3 linked regions of the Drosophila melanogaster genome follow. The protein of the gene in region 2 interacts with the protein of the main gene of each other region in a pairwise test. Each region holds a gene or a part of one and is shown on either strand. Other genes may lie near its edges.

The links.
Region 1: the proteins of C1GalTA (region 2) and Neurochondrin interact in a two-hybrid assay, tested with the Drosophila melanogaster proteins (one large-scale study listed by BioGRID).
Region 3: the proteins of C1GalTA (region 2) and MAGE interact in a two-hybrid assay, tested with the Drosophila melanogaster proteins (one large-scale study listed by BioGRID).

Annotation. Positions count from the first base shown.
Region 1 is NT_033777.3:6,466,214-6,471,790, reverse strand, and holds Neurochondrin (neurochondrin), read right to left. Parts: upstream 3,355-5,577; 5' UTR 3,119-3,354; coding exon 947-3,118; 3' UTR 775-946; downstream 1-774. UniProt on the Drosophila melanogaster protein: Strongly up-regulated in Mhc mutants suggesting a role in muscle function.
Region 2 is NT_033779.5:8,947,554-8,953,376, reverse strand, and holds the start of C1GalTA (core 1 galactosyltransferase A), read left to right. Parts: upstream 1-2,160; 5' UTR 2,161-2,399; exon of another isoform or gene 2,400-2,607; intron 2,608-5,505; exon of another isoform or gene 5,506-5,815; coding exon of another isoform or gene 5,816-5,823. Other genes in the region: CG46397 (uncharacterized protein), read right to left, coding at 5,816-5,823. UniProt on the Drosophila melanogaster protein: Glycosyltransferase that generates the core 1 O-glycan Gal-beta1-3GalNAc-alpha1-Ser/Thr (T antigen), which is a precursor for many extended O-glycans in glycoproteins.
Region 3 is NT_033777.3:7,153,242-7,157,572, reverse strand, and holds MAGE (MAGE), read left to right. Parts: upstream 1-2,392; 5' UTR 2,393-2,508; coding exon 2,509-3,207; 3' UTR 3,208-3,335; downstream 3,336-4,331. Other genes in the region: Sas-4 (spindle assembly abnormal 4), read right to left, coding at 3,409-4,269, 4,321-4,331.

The sequences.
Region 1 (5,577 bases), on a different chromosome or scaffold from region 2:
CAGGCTGAAATCAACTAAATTGGAAAAAAAACTCTTGCTAATTAAAAAGCCTTTCACGTTGATTAAAGCCTTCAAAATGTCAGAAGCAGTGATTTTGGGGAAAATAAACAAATATTCAACCGTGTTTTGATAGTTTGCAATATCTAATTTAATTAACTGTGCTCAGCTAATAAAGCCCGTTCTAATAAACTAAAATGCTTTCATTTTAATTACTTTACTGAAAAAATAAAAACTCGCGTACGAAGTTTATTACCGAAATCGATGTTTTCCTTCAATGTTTAATTTTGCAAAATTATGTTGGTTTATCTGCATATCTCATCCCACGGCACAAAGGGCATGTTGTCCTCCGAAATGTTACATGCATTTCCCGCTCCACAATTGTTGACCAAAAAAGTTGTCACTTCACGTCAGCACATTATTAATTCGCCGCTTCCGTTCCATTCCGATGCGAACAAAAAGTTTAGCTGCATGTTTTTAATTAAATTTCACTTATTATTAGTATTATTTTCGGTCAGCCTTTGCACTCGTCATCGTTGTTTAACGCTAGTGTTTTATTTTCACTCCGCAGCATATCGTATATATACGAATGTGACGTGTTTTGGCCGTACCATATTGCTTTTGTTCGAAAATAAAGCGAACAACAAGAATGAAAACAAGCAAAAGTTTCAACTAATTCCGCTGAGTTGGCCCGAACAAACGAAAACGAGAACGAATGAATGGCAAAACATTTTGATGAGAGAAGCCAAAACTGAAAAACGAAATTTATATCCGGATGTGTTTTTAAAATTGGTTTATTATTTTTTTTTTTATAAATTTAGGTATTTAGTCATTAAAATAGAGCATATAAAATAGAATATAATCCATACAAAATATTTTCCATTTTTCGCTGGCGCACAAATCACACACAAAAAATGCCTCTAGAGAAACAGTGAGTGCCTTGCTTGGCTTAGTCGCCGAAGAGCTTCTTGCCCAGATCCATCATCCTGTGATTGCGGCAGACCCGCAGAGCATCGGCCTTCTTGAGCACGGCCTGGACATCGCCGTTCACGTCCACCAGTTGGGACAGGAAGTCCTCGTACGCGGATTTAACGTTAGCCGGCAGGGTGCCGATCTTGACCTTTTTCAGGGTCTTCACAATGCCCTCTGCCCAGCCGGACTCCAGGGCGAACTCGGAGAGCCATGGCACCAGGGGTAGCACGCCGCACATGGTCTGCATTCCCAGGAACCAGAGCTCCGACAGATCCGACCAGTAGCCCTTGTAGGCAATGGACACCACCAGAGCGGTGGGATCGTTGCTCTCATCGATGTTGTAGGCATCCCAGAGGAAGCGGATGGTGGCCTGGATGTAGCGACAGATGGAGAAGTCATTCTGCTTCACCTTCTTGGACTGCTGCTTAAGCAGTAGAAGGCCCAGCACAGCCAGGTTTCCGTGGATGACCAGGTTATCGGGCGTATCCTTCAGTTCGGGTAGATTCTCCACCACGAACTTCAGCAGATTGGCGAAAGTCGGTCCATCCTCAGCCTTCTTCGGCTCCAAGACGGTGAAGTTCATCAAAATGTTGCAGAGCGCCACTATGGCACTTCTGGCCACCTTCATCTCCGCCTGCTGCTCCGGAGTCGGAACCGGATCGGGCTCATTCATGCGCTTCAAACGCTCAGCGCGCGGTATTGGCGGCCTCTTCCAATGGGCAATGCTGAAGTAGAACTCCAAGGATTCCAGCAGCACTTCATCCTGCTTATGGGTGAAGAGCACTCTCCTGGCCTCCTCCTCCACTGCGAAATGGCAGAGAGCCGGAAGCATGATCCGCAGAACATCGATGGGTGGTTCGCCCTCCCTAGTTCCTGCCCTCCAGGTCTTTAGCTCCTGGAAACTCTCGTTGGCCACCTTGAGCATGAAGGGCAGAAGCTTGTAGATGGCCGGTCTCATGGCCGTTGTCTCCTGGGCTAGCCAGGCGGACAGAACTTTCACGATGGCAAACACAAACTTCTTATCTTTGGGATTAGAGCTTTCCCTGATCTTGTCCTGGCTAACACGGGTCAAAACCGCCAGAACCTGGTTGAAGGCGCCCTTGAGAGCGGTGTAAGTGGTCTGTTTCTCCTTGGGCTCTAGATCCAGCTGATCCGTAGCCATATACTCAATGCAATGCTCCAGAATGGAGAAGCAGCAGGTGAGCAGCTCCGCCTGCTTGAAGGTGGTTTCCAGTTTTTTCTCATCCATTTGCATGCGCACCTCGATAGCTCCCAGTTGGAGGAGCTGCAGGAAGAAAGTCTTCTGCTCGTCCATGAAGGCCCATTGGATGCCCAGCACATGCAAGGTGGTGGCTATTAGATGCAGTGCAGGATCCCTTTGCTTGGGGCCAATCTTGGCCTTCAGAATATCTCCACAGCCCTTGAACAAGCTCTCCGGCCAGATCTGACCCTCCAGAGAATTAATCACAATCTCACGACGGCAGGTAATAAGGATATCAGCCAAGATACGGCAGAGCTCGTACTTTCTCTCCGTGTCATCGGTTTCCATGTCCAAAGCGATCCTCTGGATCAGAGCATGGAAGGCAGTGGGATCCTCGGGCCATGATACCACTCCAAACTGCTTAACAAGCAGCACGATCAGGTGCAAGGCCTCATCGGTCTGGAAACTCTGGGCGGAGTATATCTGCGACATCTTGGGGATGGCTCCGGTGGCCAGAAGGGCCTGCTGGCCTGGCTCATGGCTGGCGATGCTCTTGAGGCAACTATACGCCTCGCTGACCACGATTAGGTTATCCTCGTAGTCCTCGTCATCGGCCTGCTCAACGATTTCCAGGAGCGTGGGTATGGCGTCGATGATGTCCTTATGGGTGGCTAACTCCTCCTCCTGGCAAAAGCACGTGAGGATCGAGAGAGCTACACTCTTGTAAACTAACGGCGGACAATCGTTGGGCAGATCCTTGGACACTAGCAGCTTCTTGAGGAAGGGAAACCCTATGGCCTCGAACAGCAGCTTCTTGCCCGCCGCATTGCAGTCCTTGCCCTTGACCAGCTTGGTGACCATAAAGAGGGCGGCGAATTTTTCAGTGTCGCTCTTCGTGCCCTTCAACAGGCTGGCGCACTTGCGCACGGGCTCCGGCACGTCCGTCATCCTGGTTTCCGTCTCTCCTCCGGGTGTGTATCTCACGGACCGCCTATGAACGGTCTGTATATTTATCCGCTGCTCGGATATATGTGTGCGACGTGGCCTTCTATTAATATCTCCCCACACTTTCACTTGGCTGCAGCTTTCCCGTTGGTTCTTCTCCCGCCGGATACGTTTTCCGCTGATTTTCTTGGCTTCTGGTTCTGTGTCCTCGCTCGTCGACGCACTCTCGCACACTGATCGTCGCCAGCGGAAAACTCGCGAGTGGCTTTCCCAATTTTCCAAAAGCTATGCAGCTGTTGCCGTTCAAACGGGAAAACCTACACACAATTTATTTATACACGGATTCTACACCCTACTACTCAGGCAGGGATCATGGATTGGGGAATGTCTACAAGTCTTGTGACCTAATTGAAGATTGTTTATATAAAATGGTTTGACTGTCCATTAGATAATGATGTTTGTATTTGGTTAAATTTATTACAATTTTCATGGTCAAGTGTGGTGATTTGGGTTTTTAATTAGATTTAGATTTTTATCGATAGTAGTGATCAATTAAAATGAATTCATATTGCTTAGGAAGGGTATTCAATTCTTAGCAAAAGCTTTTTTATGACTTCAGCCTATAGAATTTGAAAATCACTTGAAATCAAACGAATGACCAATGCATTGCTCTTTGTTCTCGGCTTTTCACACCGCTTTTCCACTCTCGCTCATTTTCCTCCCGCATTGCGCTCTTCGGAGCACCGTTGTATATATTTAGAAAATGATTTTCCTTTTTTCCGACTTCTTCGTGTTTACATTTTAGTCAACTGTGAAATGTTCGCTGCCGGCTGCATTTCTTCCAGAATATTTTGAATACGTGTTCGCATTCTCCGCAGCGTATGTGGCCACAAATATCCATTGAAATATATGTATTTATTTCATATATATATATATATATATATGTGTGTATCTGAAATAAATATAGGTGTGTCGGCATCAATGTCCAGACATTTAAATAAACCACTCCGTGGAGCGTGCTACAGCAAACAAAATACACATATTTTTATACGCATAATTTATACATTAACTTAGTTATATAGACACATTGTTTTACGCGTATGTGGATCGAAAATTTGCATATTTAATTTAAGTGCAATGCTTTCTGCTTTTCACTCTGGGGTCAATGAATTTAATTGCACATTGCACTTTGTTTAAAATTAAATTTATTTGTATGACATTAATTTCAAAATATAGTTATTTTTAAATGTACACATGCTGATTTATTGTATATTTATGCCCACCAAATGACACACATTTATGCATCAACGTTAGTCGAATACCAATTATAGTTATAATTAGTCATATACAATCGAAAAATGTATTCATTATTATGAATAATTATATATCTACATGTTTTTGTGCAAAAGAGAAAAACAGCTGTTCTATATACAACTGTTCTTACACTGACAACGTAGCCGAAAAAGACATCATGCGTCTATTTATTCTCACGGCATTTAATTTCCTTAGCAAAATTTTTAGATATTTATTTGCTAATGAGCCATAGAATCTGACAAAATTACGGAATTCTGCTCAATGGCGAGAGAAATCTCTTGACATTTTCCGGTCTCCCCATGCACATACATATAGCCATTAAATCTTTAGCGCGGAAAAGTCGGTTATTCGGGCGCCATTGGTCATAATGCAAATGAAAAACTTTATCCATTCTGGACTATTTACTATCACACAAAATGCAAATTTGTCTGAACCAGGGAAGCCCTGCTTGATTCTAGTTGCCAGAACATGTATGCATATATACATATGTATATATCTACATATATGTATATGTACATATATATTATAGTCCACATATGGATGCGGATGCACCAGCACTCGACCCGCATTGGATCCAAATCGGATCCCATATCGCTGCTGTTTGCCTTTGCTATTATTACATTGGCGGTCCTGCCAGCGACATGGGCCAAGTGGTCGTTGAATGTGGTCTGTTGACCGTTTTTGGGCAAACGCGGCTTAATTGCGTTGCTAGCAATTTCAATAATTGCGTTATAACGAAATTGATTAATTTTTACATTTCACTAATTATGTACCGGCCAAATCCCCGGCCATTGTTATAATAATAATTATAAACGGAAATATGCTGGCCCATCTGCACTCTTGTGTGGATGATTCGATTGCCACACTCCAGTTGCCTACTTCAAGGCGGCGGTGAAAAGACACTTTTAATGTGGAAACAGGGCAGTGAACTACAGTGAAAAGTGTCCCACAAACTGGCAACTTGCTCGGCCACACCACTGCTGGCTTATCTAGCTCGGTACATAACCAGGAAGAGGCAACATCAACATCAATAATTGAAATAAATCGCTTGACAAACGATGCTGGGAACCGGACTGACTGGCAGAGAGCTCACACAAGGTGGACCAAAATCGGAAAGGAGGAAACCAGGACAAAAACGAATACACTCT
Region 2 (5,823 bases):
TTGATTCTAGTTATTTTAGATTAATTTGCACACCACTCAAAGCTAATTTGCCGATCATTTGTGTGAGTCTTTTCCTAATTTGGCCACGGGAGTAATGCAAATATTTACATAAAATTCATGTACACATACATGCCTGGAAGAAATGAAATAACATTTTCATTAAAAATGAATAAATTTACTGTCTAGTCTTTTAGTTCATACACTCAATTGAGCAGCGTAAACAAAGTGCCTTGGATTATCCGATTAACATAGTTGCATTAGATTAAGTTATAAAAGAAAATAATAAAATAGTAAAAACAGTATTCAGTAAAAAAAAAATTATTTTTAAAGAAGGGAAAAAAAATGAAAAAAAAACATCATTCAAATTTAGCAGATCGTTGGGAACGTCAGCAAATGAAAGCTGATTGCTACGAATCTAATGTTGATCTACACTGTATATACTTGTGGTTGTGTAGATAATGTGTAAGATTACAGTAAAAAAAATAAAGTCAGTCAGCGATTTTTATACCCGTTACTCGTAGCTTAAGAGGGTATTCTCGACTTGTTGAAAAGGGTGTAACGGATCTTGACACGCGGCATTTTTATTTCGAAACATCACGCCGACACTTTTAAAACATTTTTTTTGAGTAACGGGTATCTGGTAGTCACGAAACTCGACTGTAGCGTTTAAAAAACTCCTGAACTCTCATTCGTTGCTCACTAATTAGAAGACAGAATTTGCCCTTATCAGAGTTGTCAGATAATGCTAACAAGAAATACTATCTTATCTGAAGTGATCGATTGCAAAAAGTTATATGAACTCATTAACCAGCCCCACATCAATAAATATTTATTAAAGGCATTCGTCACCAATTGCATTAATTTCGATTTCTGGGTTTAAAAATATTTAACGTATATTCACTAATTTTGGCTGACAACATGGAGTTACCTTAATAAATTTTCAAGTAGTCTATGTTCAGGTTTCGAATATGAAGTATTAGAAGTCTTTAGCATCACAGAAGCCGGTTGTTAATGTACAATAGATAACGAATCAAACAAAAACGTTTCTTAACGAGTTTGCGCGTATACATAACTTGTTTAATTACAGTTGCGATATCGCAAATTTTTAACGTACAATGCAAAAAATTTCTTGCATTCAAATTTGATGTTAGTTATATTTTCTAATAACGGTTTTGGACAACTATTTTTATAGCTTGTGAAATCTTACTAGAAAAAAAAAAAAAAAAAATACAAAAATCTTATATTTTTAAACGGGGTTTTCTCTATAACTTGGTAAAAAAAAGGTGGCACATCTAACGAAAAAAAACACTGTTTTATACTGCTCATAAGCATACCTAACTATCCCTATCATAATTTTAATGATTTTCAAAAATCAAAATTTGAACAAGTTTTCGGTAATTTTATATTCTTTCCTTTCTAGATTGTGATTTTTGGAGATATTTCAGACGTACAATTATCAATTTATATATTATGCACATATATTTGTATTCATTCTTTGAGAAAGTAATATTCGAAAGAGTGGACACAAATCTTAGAACCAACCCCAAAAACAAACCCTTAAGATAGTTTCCAACAGCTGTTTTGCCAAATATATGGTGACTAGTAGCGAGTGATGAGAGAAACAGGCCATTGATAAATCGAAGTCACACCACTTATATATACAAACTACATATCTTACCTATAATATTTTAGTTTAATAGAAGTTTTTTTTATAATTTTCAAATCACTCTCGCTCTTTATAGAAAGCCGGTACCGGTTTACACCCCCTTTCCGACACAAGCATATAAAAAGAACAGCGAGAGAGAGAGAGAGTGAGCTTTGGTTCTCTCACTTAATTCTGTTGATTGCACAGGTAGAAACAAATAACTTGTATACTGCGATATTTAAATTTATTTGTTTTTGTACTAATTTGTACTATATTCTGGTTAAATATGAAATAGTTAAAAATACTTATTGGGAACTGATATTTTAAATAATATATTTAATAATACTTGGTGTAATTAAATTCAAATTTTTTACTTTTATTGCACTAGACAGCAATAATAGCTTATGTTTCAACTTCGATCATAATCATAAATTTTTTTAATTTACAACTTTCAACATTTTCTTGCCAGTGTACTCTGTTCTCTTCGTTCTCGCTCGTGCTCAGTTTTAGAATTCGCGGCAGTTGTTTTTGTTTGTCCGGCGCGTTCGCTTGCTTCACTTATGCGCTTGTTGAAAATCAAGGAAAGGGCGCGGAAAATAAGTTTAATTAAATATTTCGAGTGGCTCGACTAACACAGCAATTAAGCGAATGTGCAAAACGTGAAAGCAGTTGTGAATAAAACGCACTCATCGCGAAATTAAAAGCTTTTTGGGAGCGTCCTGCGATGGAGAAACGCGTGAGGAAAAATCAATTCGTAAGTAAATGGGCGACGCGAAAAACGGTGATTTAAAAATCAAATGAAATGAAACGCGTGCGGAATTTACCTGAACGGAAAACTAATCGGTCAGCAAAAATTGCGTTTTGTGCCAAAACAGAAAGCGCAATAAATATAATATACAATTGCGCATATGGTGTATGTACATAGAGTGCAAGAAGAACGTGACAAGGAAGAGCAAACGAAGGTGAAGAGTGTGAATAAAACCAAAACAATAAGAACGAACAAGTTTAAGCCACTGTTACGGCAAGTAACGCACGAGAATATACATATGTACATATATTGGTTTCCAACTGGAAACTGAAATTGACTAGAAGGAAGTGGAAGGAAGAATTGCCTGACGGCCTTTCCTTCCAGTCCGGCCACTCACACTACCAAAGCCCCTTGCTGCAGGATGTTAAAATAAAGCTAATGAAGAAAAGAATTGAGAACAGTATAAAAAAAATAGCTAAACTCTTGGGTCCCCATTCCTAAAATATTTGTAAACTCTGATCCTATGCCTAAAAATTATAAAATCAATGCAAAAAGTTTAAATTATAAGGTACAGCATTTATTAAATTTAACGTTCTGTTCCAAGTGTGTTTGAGGCATTTAAGGCGACAACTCTAATATGTTATCTGTTTGAGGGTCGTTGGTCTTGAGTATTTTTAATAACCCGCTAAACACAAAGGAATATGTTGATAACTAGGCGAGAAGTGGCTTCCCAATTCGTGATGTCTTATCCTGGTGGTTGTTGTTGTCTCTGTTAATGTAATGACATTCCCCAAACAGCTGCATTTTGGTTTCTCGCTCTCCGGCTCTCTTCAGTTGTCATTTCCGTTATGCCCTGCCATGCACTCAGCCCTCCCCCTCTATTCCCTTTTGCATCCGGGGGGTGAATTAACTGCAGCCGAAACGCATTTACTTTAATTTATTTGTGGTTCCAGTGGGCGTCACTTTCTCTCCCTCTCATTTTTATCTCGACAGAGAGAGAGAGAGCAGCACATGCTATTGTGCGTGCATTTGTATTTGTATTTCTCGTCTCTGCTCTCTGATTAGCCTTCTCTTGTTATTGTTGCGGGGATAATTCATATGCAGATTGCACCTAGTGATTGCCATTCAAATTCAACTGATAGTGGAAGCTGGAACTTGTACTATAAACATACATATGGTTCTTCCTGCTTCAAGTAAAAAAACAGTAGCCATTTCCATCAGTCATCAAAGTAATGAACTCTCCTTGCAACATATGGGACTGAATAAGAATAGTACTTTATGCTACTTTTAGCATGTTTTCGTTTTCCAGAAGAGAACTACCTAGTAAATGAGTTTTAATAATTATGAATGACTCTAAAAGACTGATCCTTAAAGAGCTCCTTACTTAATGTATTATTACATTATTTTTAAAAATATTCAATACCAAGTCAAATAGTTTTTAATGTATTATTTCTTGTATTGGGTGTATTTGTTCTTAAATGTGTGTTATTTCGTAAAGCCAAAAATCTGAATTTGAATAGACTAACCCAATAACCTTAAACCAGCTGTGCCATGCCCCGCGGGCTATACTATAGAATATTGTTCAATGGCCCCAAAAAGGTGCCATTTCACGTGAGATTCAGGTGAATAGCGCTATACCTATTCATTAATCAGCAATCAATTATCTATCAGCAAAGCCTTTTAATCAATATTTAATTAAGAACTCACATTCCGACTTTTCTTCTTATACATTGCTTTTGTCGATGTCGTTTGAACAACAGAGTAATAGATATTGTTCATTGGGACAGAAAATAATAGTTACTTGAGAACTCTTATAGATAAGCTCTCCGTAAAGTATACAAAATTTTAAGGAATGGAATTCTTTAAGGTTGAACTAATGGCATAATCACTTTTCTCATTCGTTCGTTATATGAATCATATTAATATTTCCATTTTCATTTGCTGTATTGTACTATTACACGATGAACAAAGAAACAGAGTTTTAAAAACGAATGCCATGTTTTTTTTTTGTGCCTGATAACAATTCCGCAGTCCAGTTCCACTTTGATAAACAGCTGCCGACATCATTGTGCCAGTCCTTACTGTATTGTTTATCTGAAAGGGAAGTTACTGAAAGTGAATTGAAATAAAACGAGAATCATAGAGCCAAAACATTAAGTACAGGGTACTTTGCTTATACGGGCTCCAAAAATAAAATACAATAACTGAATTAAAATATTTGCGGGATCGCAGAGCGTGGCTGATTTTATTGACCGCAGATGAAAAGCGGCCAAACAAAACAATTGTACAATTGGTTTGGTTTCTGGTTTTAGTTTGTCTTTCTGGCCCATTCTGTTTTTACATTTTTTTTTTTAAATTACGATGAATGGACTGTCACGCTAGTCTGAGTATAGGGCAGCAAAAAAGCAAAAGGCACTCTATTAACTGAATGACATAATAATAAATTTAGTTTAGCTTAATTTCTATTAACAGGTGCTCCATTACGCGCTCTCGATGAATTAGTTAAGAACTAGATTATTATTATTATTATACATATATAGTGAATAAGAATTTAAGCTACATAAGTTGACTTTTGGGAAAACTTAACTACAATATTAAGCTGGTTTTGAAAAACCCATAAATATAGTTATGCTTATCTATTTGAGTTATGATGAGGTAAACGTTTTATGTCAAGGGTTCTACACACACACATTGAGGGAATTTTTTAAGCTTTACAATGCCACAAAATATTTTTTTTTATTATCTGTGCAAGGTACTACATCTTTGACGAGACAAACTGGTGTTATAATGTTTTATTATCTTTGGCTTTATCTGAGTACGCCACAAACACCGAAATTTCAAAGATAACAACTAAAATACGTAATAGCACGAATAAAGCTAATCACCATGGATATCAAATAGATCACTGAAATAGAATTGCCAGACAGTATGAATTATATACACGTTCATATTCGTGCTACCGAACAGTATGTGATTATATAATTTTCTTTTTTGCTCGACAAGTAATTTTTCAATTGGCCGCTGCAGTGCATGGGAATAGTTTTTGGATCGGCAATGGATCTAATATTAGAACATTTGTAAATACAATATTTGCCACGATTCGCAAACTTTTGTTTGTTATTCACTCCACGCAAATCGGGCATCCCAAAGGCGTTCGAATCTGATCAGTAGACTACAATGATAAGCAAATACGCGGTTAAATTGCGTTTAATTGCTATTGTACATTAGATTGGAGCGGCGATGTCGGTCTGACATGTTGTTCATGCTTAAATTTAATTAATTTGCAAATTACAATTGCAATTGCAAAGCGCCAAGCAAGTCGGGCAAACACACTGGTCTCTGATGTGCCACCCACACAACCTAGCATTGCATTCCCAGTTTACAATTGATAATTGCTGGGCTCAGGGGTCTATCTCAGATTTTCAAAATC
Region 3 (4,331 bases), on a different chromosome or scaffold from region 2:
AAAAGGTCAAATAGCAGCTTCGTTTTGATCCATGGCCTGAGTTTAGCAATTTGACCTCTTAATTAAGCCGAACAAGTTTGTTGTCCAAGTCTTTTATTTGAGAACTAAACTCTACTCGCTCACAGCTACGTTCAGCTTAGCGCGCTTTTGTAATTGTGAGCCCCATTGACATTTAGCGGATAGCTGAGTCGTTCTGAGAGAGGAGCAAATCATAATCTAATCGAAGTGCCGGTCCCGGGCCAAAGCTGATCAGCCAGATCGACCACGAGCGGCAGCTGCTGGACAAGAATGCCGAACCGCTCCGCTGAAGGCAGTCCACTTTTAAGAACGGCACGCAACCAGACTGAGGCAACAACAGCCGGCTATTGTTTCTATATTCTCGATTCCATTCCATTGCGACCGAAACGGGGTTATCTGCTCACTGAAAGAGGTTGTAAGAACAAACTTATATACTTGTATAGGGAAATAAAACATTCGATTTGCTGAAGAATAAATTAAAATATTTTTAGCCAGAGAAGCTGGGAACATGAAAAGAAGGAATCTTTAAAAAACTACAAGATAAGAGATTTATGTTTGCGAAACTATGCCATTTATCAGCGTTTTTCTTATCAAAACGAAAGACTAATTTGAATGTTTGCAACACATTTTTTTAAAATACAACTTTAAGAATATCAAAAGATGTATTTATATTAGCGTAATTTCCATTTAATGGTGCCTTCCATTTTTCTGAATTTTAAATGTAATATTATTTATTCATTTTTCACTTTTTATTTTCATTCATATTATTTTCGCAATAAAAAACTTTTAGCTCCTTAAGATATTCGAAATGATAAATCTCAAAGAGCAAGCCACTTAAAAACAATTAATCCCGATCATATAGAGCATTAAACTCCACACATTCCTCATTCCAATATTGGCTTTCTTTTTTGTGCACACATTTTTTGTCTGCTGCCTCTTGTGATTCTGTTATTAATTTATTAATAGTTTTTGCCACCGCGGTGAGCTGCGAAACCCGTTGTCGTTACTCTATTGGCTGGTCATGGGATTTTGTTTATCATGAAAATTCTAAATGGCATGCTCATGTCATTTGCTAATTTTTAATGGCCTTTAAAAGCCAGGCTGCATAGCAAGTTTGCCGCTCACGTCGCTCAGCAAAGACCTTGACTTTCTTTTTAGTAAATGAGACATTTCTCCAACACCGTCTGGCTACAATTAGCCGGCCATAAAAAAACTTTAGGGCTGGAGTTGACAAACTCCAACGTTACAATGCGCATTTTGAAAGCAAAACTGTTTGCTTGTGTGTAGAAAGTCTAACGCTTCGCGTTGACAGTGCGTTTTGTTGACTCACTCAGCCGCCGTTTTGCGAGATTTACAATCTTGAGTAATTTCACTTGCTGGGATGCAAATTTCGGTGCTATTACAGTCACTGGTCAAGCAGAATCAATTGCAGAACGCGGCGGATATCCATTTCAGGCGGCCACAAAGGCTGTCTTTAACAATCTGAACTCCGATATTCTGCTTTTGTTCAAGCCGGAACAATGGCGAATCAATTAAAGCTTGCCGCCTGGCCAGGCAACTTTTGTCTGCCTTCCGCCTGTACATTTATCACTTATGGATCGCGCACTTTGCGCAGACGCAGGTAACTAGTTTTCACCGCAGAGATACAGCCACCGCCATCGCCACCTAAAACACACATTTCAAGGCAATAAAATATGTTTGGCCATGTAATTCTGCAGCGTCTGGAAGTGCACTTCGGCGCGTGTGTCTGCTGCGCGAAATGCATTTCCATTTCCATTTCGTTTTGTTTGACTCGGTCTCTGTTTATTTTGAGTCTCCGTGGGGAATGTTGACCGTGCATGTCATTCGCGTTTAGTTTTGAAAGTTGTTTGCTTCCTGCTGCTGCACGTCGCGTCGTTTTGGCCATTTTAATTAAAAACACATCACCTCCTGAGGCTGCTATGGCAATTTTTATGCAAAGTGCGTTACCCACTGCTTAGCTGCTCGATAAATGCTCGAATGATATTTATTTAGCAAACGTTTCGCTGCAGCGCAAATTTCATACTGATTGTTAAATGTAACAGAGGAAAAAGGCGGCAGCAAAAGGAAATCAATCAATACAAACCCACAAGAGTAGGTACTTCAGCGGCTCTTGGCCCAGTTTGTGCGTTCAAACGAGACCAATGAGTGGCCATTTGCACTTGAAAGTGCATATAATAGGCAACCAAGTGAAAAAGGATGCGAGAGAAAAGGATTGGTAAAGACCATAATAAGGGTTCGAAGATTTTATTGTCAGAGTAATGATTTTGAATTAATATAATTTGCGCGCCCATTTGGTATTTTAATACTGAAAACAGGTCTCGTTTTTTAACTCTGATCTGGCAACGCCAGGCTTGTACACTTTCAAAAGTGCGAAAAAAAACATATGTTCGCTGCATTCTTGTTGAGTTGCATTTTAAATAATCAAATAAATTTGATAAATTGGGAGCTTGTTAATCAAATTAACTCGAAATGGCTAGCACTTCTCGCGCAGCTAGGAGCCAGAATGCCATCCCCTCGCAGGAAGCGCAACAACCCGTCGATGTGGTCGACGCCAAGGTTCGCGCCATTCTAAACTACATCCTTGATCATACCGCCCAGAAGATTCCCATAAAGGACAAGGATTTGATAGCGGTGGCTGGGGACAAGAGCGAACTGAAGAAACGCCTGCCGCTGGTCACTAATCTGCTGGCCGAAACATTCGGTATAATACTAACCCCACTGGACGCGACCACCAAGACGTTCATCTGCACTGCGGAGGAGCCGGTGGCCTCCATTCACGAGCTGACGCCGGCTCAACGGCCGCAGTTCACGCTGCTGTATATTATTCTCATGTACATCTTCCTGCGCGGCAACCGCATCGAGGACTCGAAACTGTACGTTATGCTGGAGATGCTCAACATCTATCCAGACGAAGAACATGGCTACTTCGGCCCCAATCTGCGCAAACAGATCGAGGAGACGTTTGTGAAGCAACAATATCTGAAGCGGGAACGCTCACAGCTAAGTGCTTACGATGATTCCAAGACTTTCTTCCTTTGGGGACCACGTGCCAAGGCGGAGTTCACATTCGAGCAAATGGTGCAATTCGCCTCCAAGCTGCTCAATCAGCATCCCAAGGTCTTCGGCCATCACCTCTCCATGGCCCAAGAAGGAGTAAACGCGGAGTAGAATACCATTCTATGAATAATTTACTACATTTGATCTAACAAATTGAAAACCAAACAATATATATAATAATCTAAAATAGAGCCAATTTCCCATTTATCAGCAAGAAAAGAATATTACGATGATCTTTTAAAAATAGCACGTCTTTTCTATTTATCTAAAACTTAAGTTAATTTACTTAACAACGGAAGCAGAGACCCGACTCTAATACTTGGCATAGTCTGTGTCCATTATGAGCTTGCCATCCTTGTCCTTCAAACGAACGCGGCCGTTGGAGTAGCGCGTCTCTTGGCTGCCATCCGGATACACTAGCTTCACAGTGCCGTCCGGATACTCCCTTCGCTTGTTTAGTTTGGTGTGAATCTCCTTTTGGCCATTGGGCAGATTGAGAATCTTGTCACCATTCCGGAGCTGCACTAGATGGGTTCCATCCGCATAACGCCACTCCTCCAGTTTCTCCGTATCGCTGGGATCCACAATCTTAATGCTGTTGTTGGGAAAGTGAATCTCAACAGTGCCATCCTTGCGGCGATGTTCCGTCTGCCCGTTGGGAAACTCGAGTATTTCCAAGCCATCTAGGTAGGAGGTGTGCCAAGTGTTGGTCTCAGCGTAGTAATACTTCACTGTGCCTTCCCTGATGTTAGTTTCCTTGATATCCTTGTTGAAATAGAGCATGCGCAAGTTCATGCCATCGGCGCTTATCTTTTTTAGATTGCCGTTTGGGTACCAAATGTCCTTGCTCCCATCCGCATTCGTAATCTCCCGCTTAAAGTCACTGCTGGAGTTGGCAGCCGGTGGGGGGGTAGCAGCTTTCGGAGCGGTCACGGGCGGCTGAACTTCCTCCGATTCCACAGAACTACTAGAGGCGTAGCTCTCATCCAGAGCGTATGGTGTTTTCTTATTCCTGCTCAGTGAGCGACTCCGACTTCTCACTTGGGCACTGCCGCTACTCTGACGACGGTTTTGCGCCTCTCGCTGCTTGGCAGGCTTACCAGCAGTGCCGTCCAGAGATTGGGTGCGCCGACCGTTCTCATCGAGGATATCGGACATTGTCGCGGAAGGTAACTAAATGAAGACATTAGTTACATTACGATATACACACAAGCATGCACTTACCACTTTGGGGG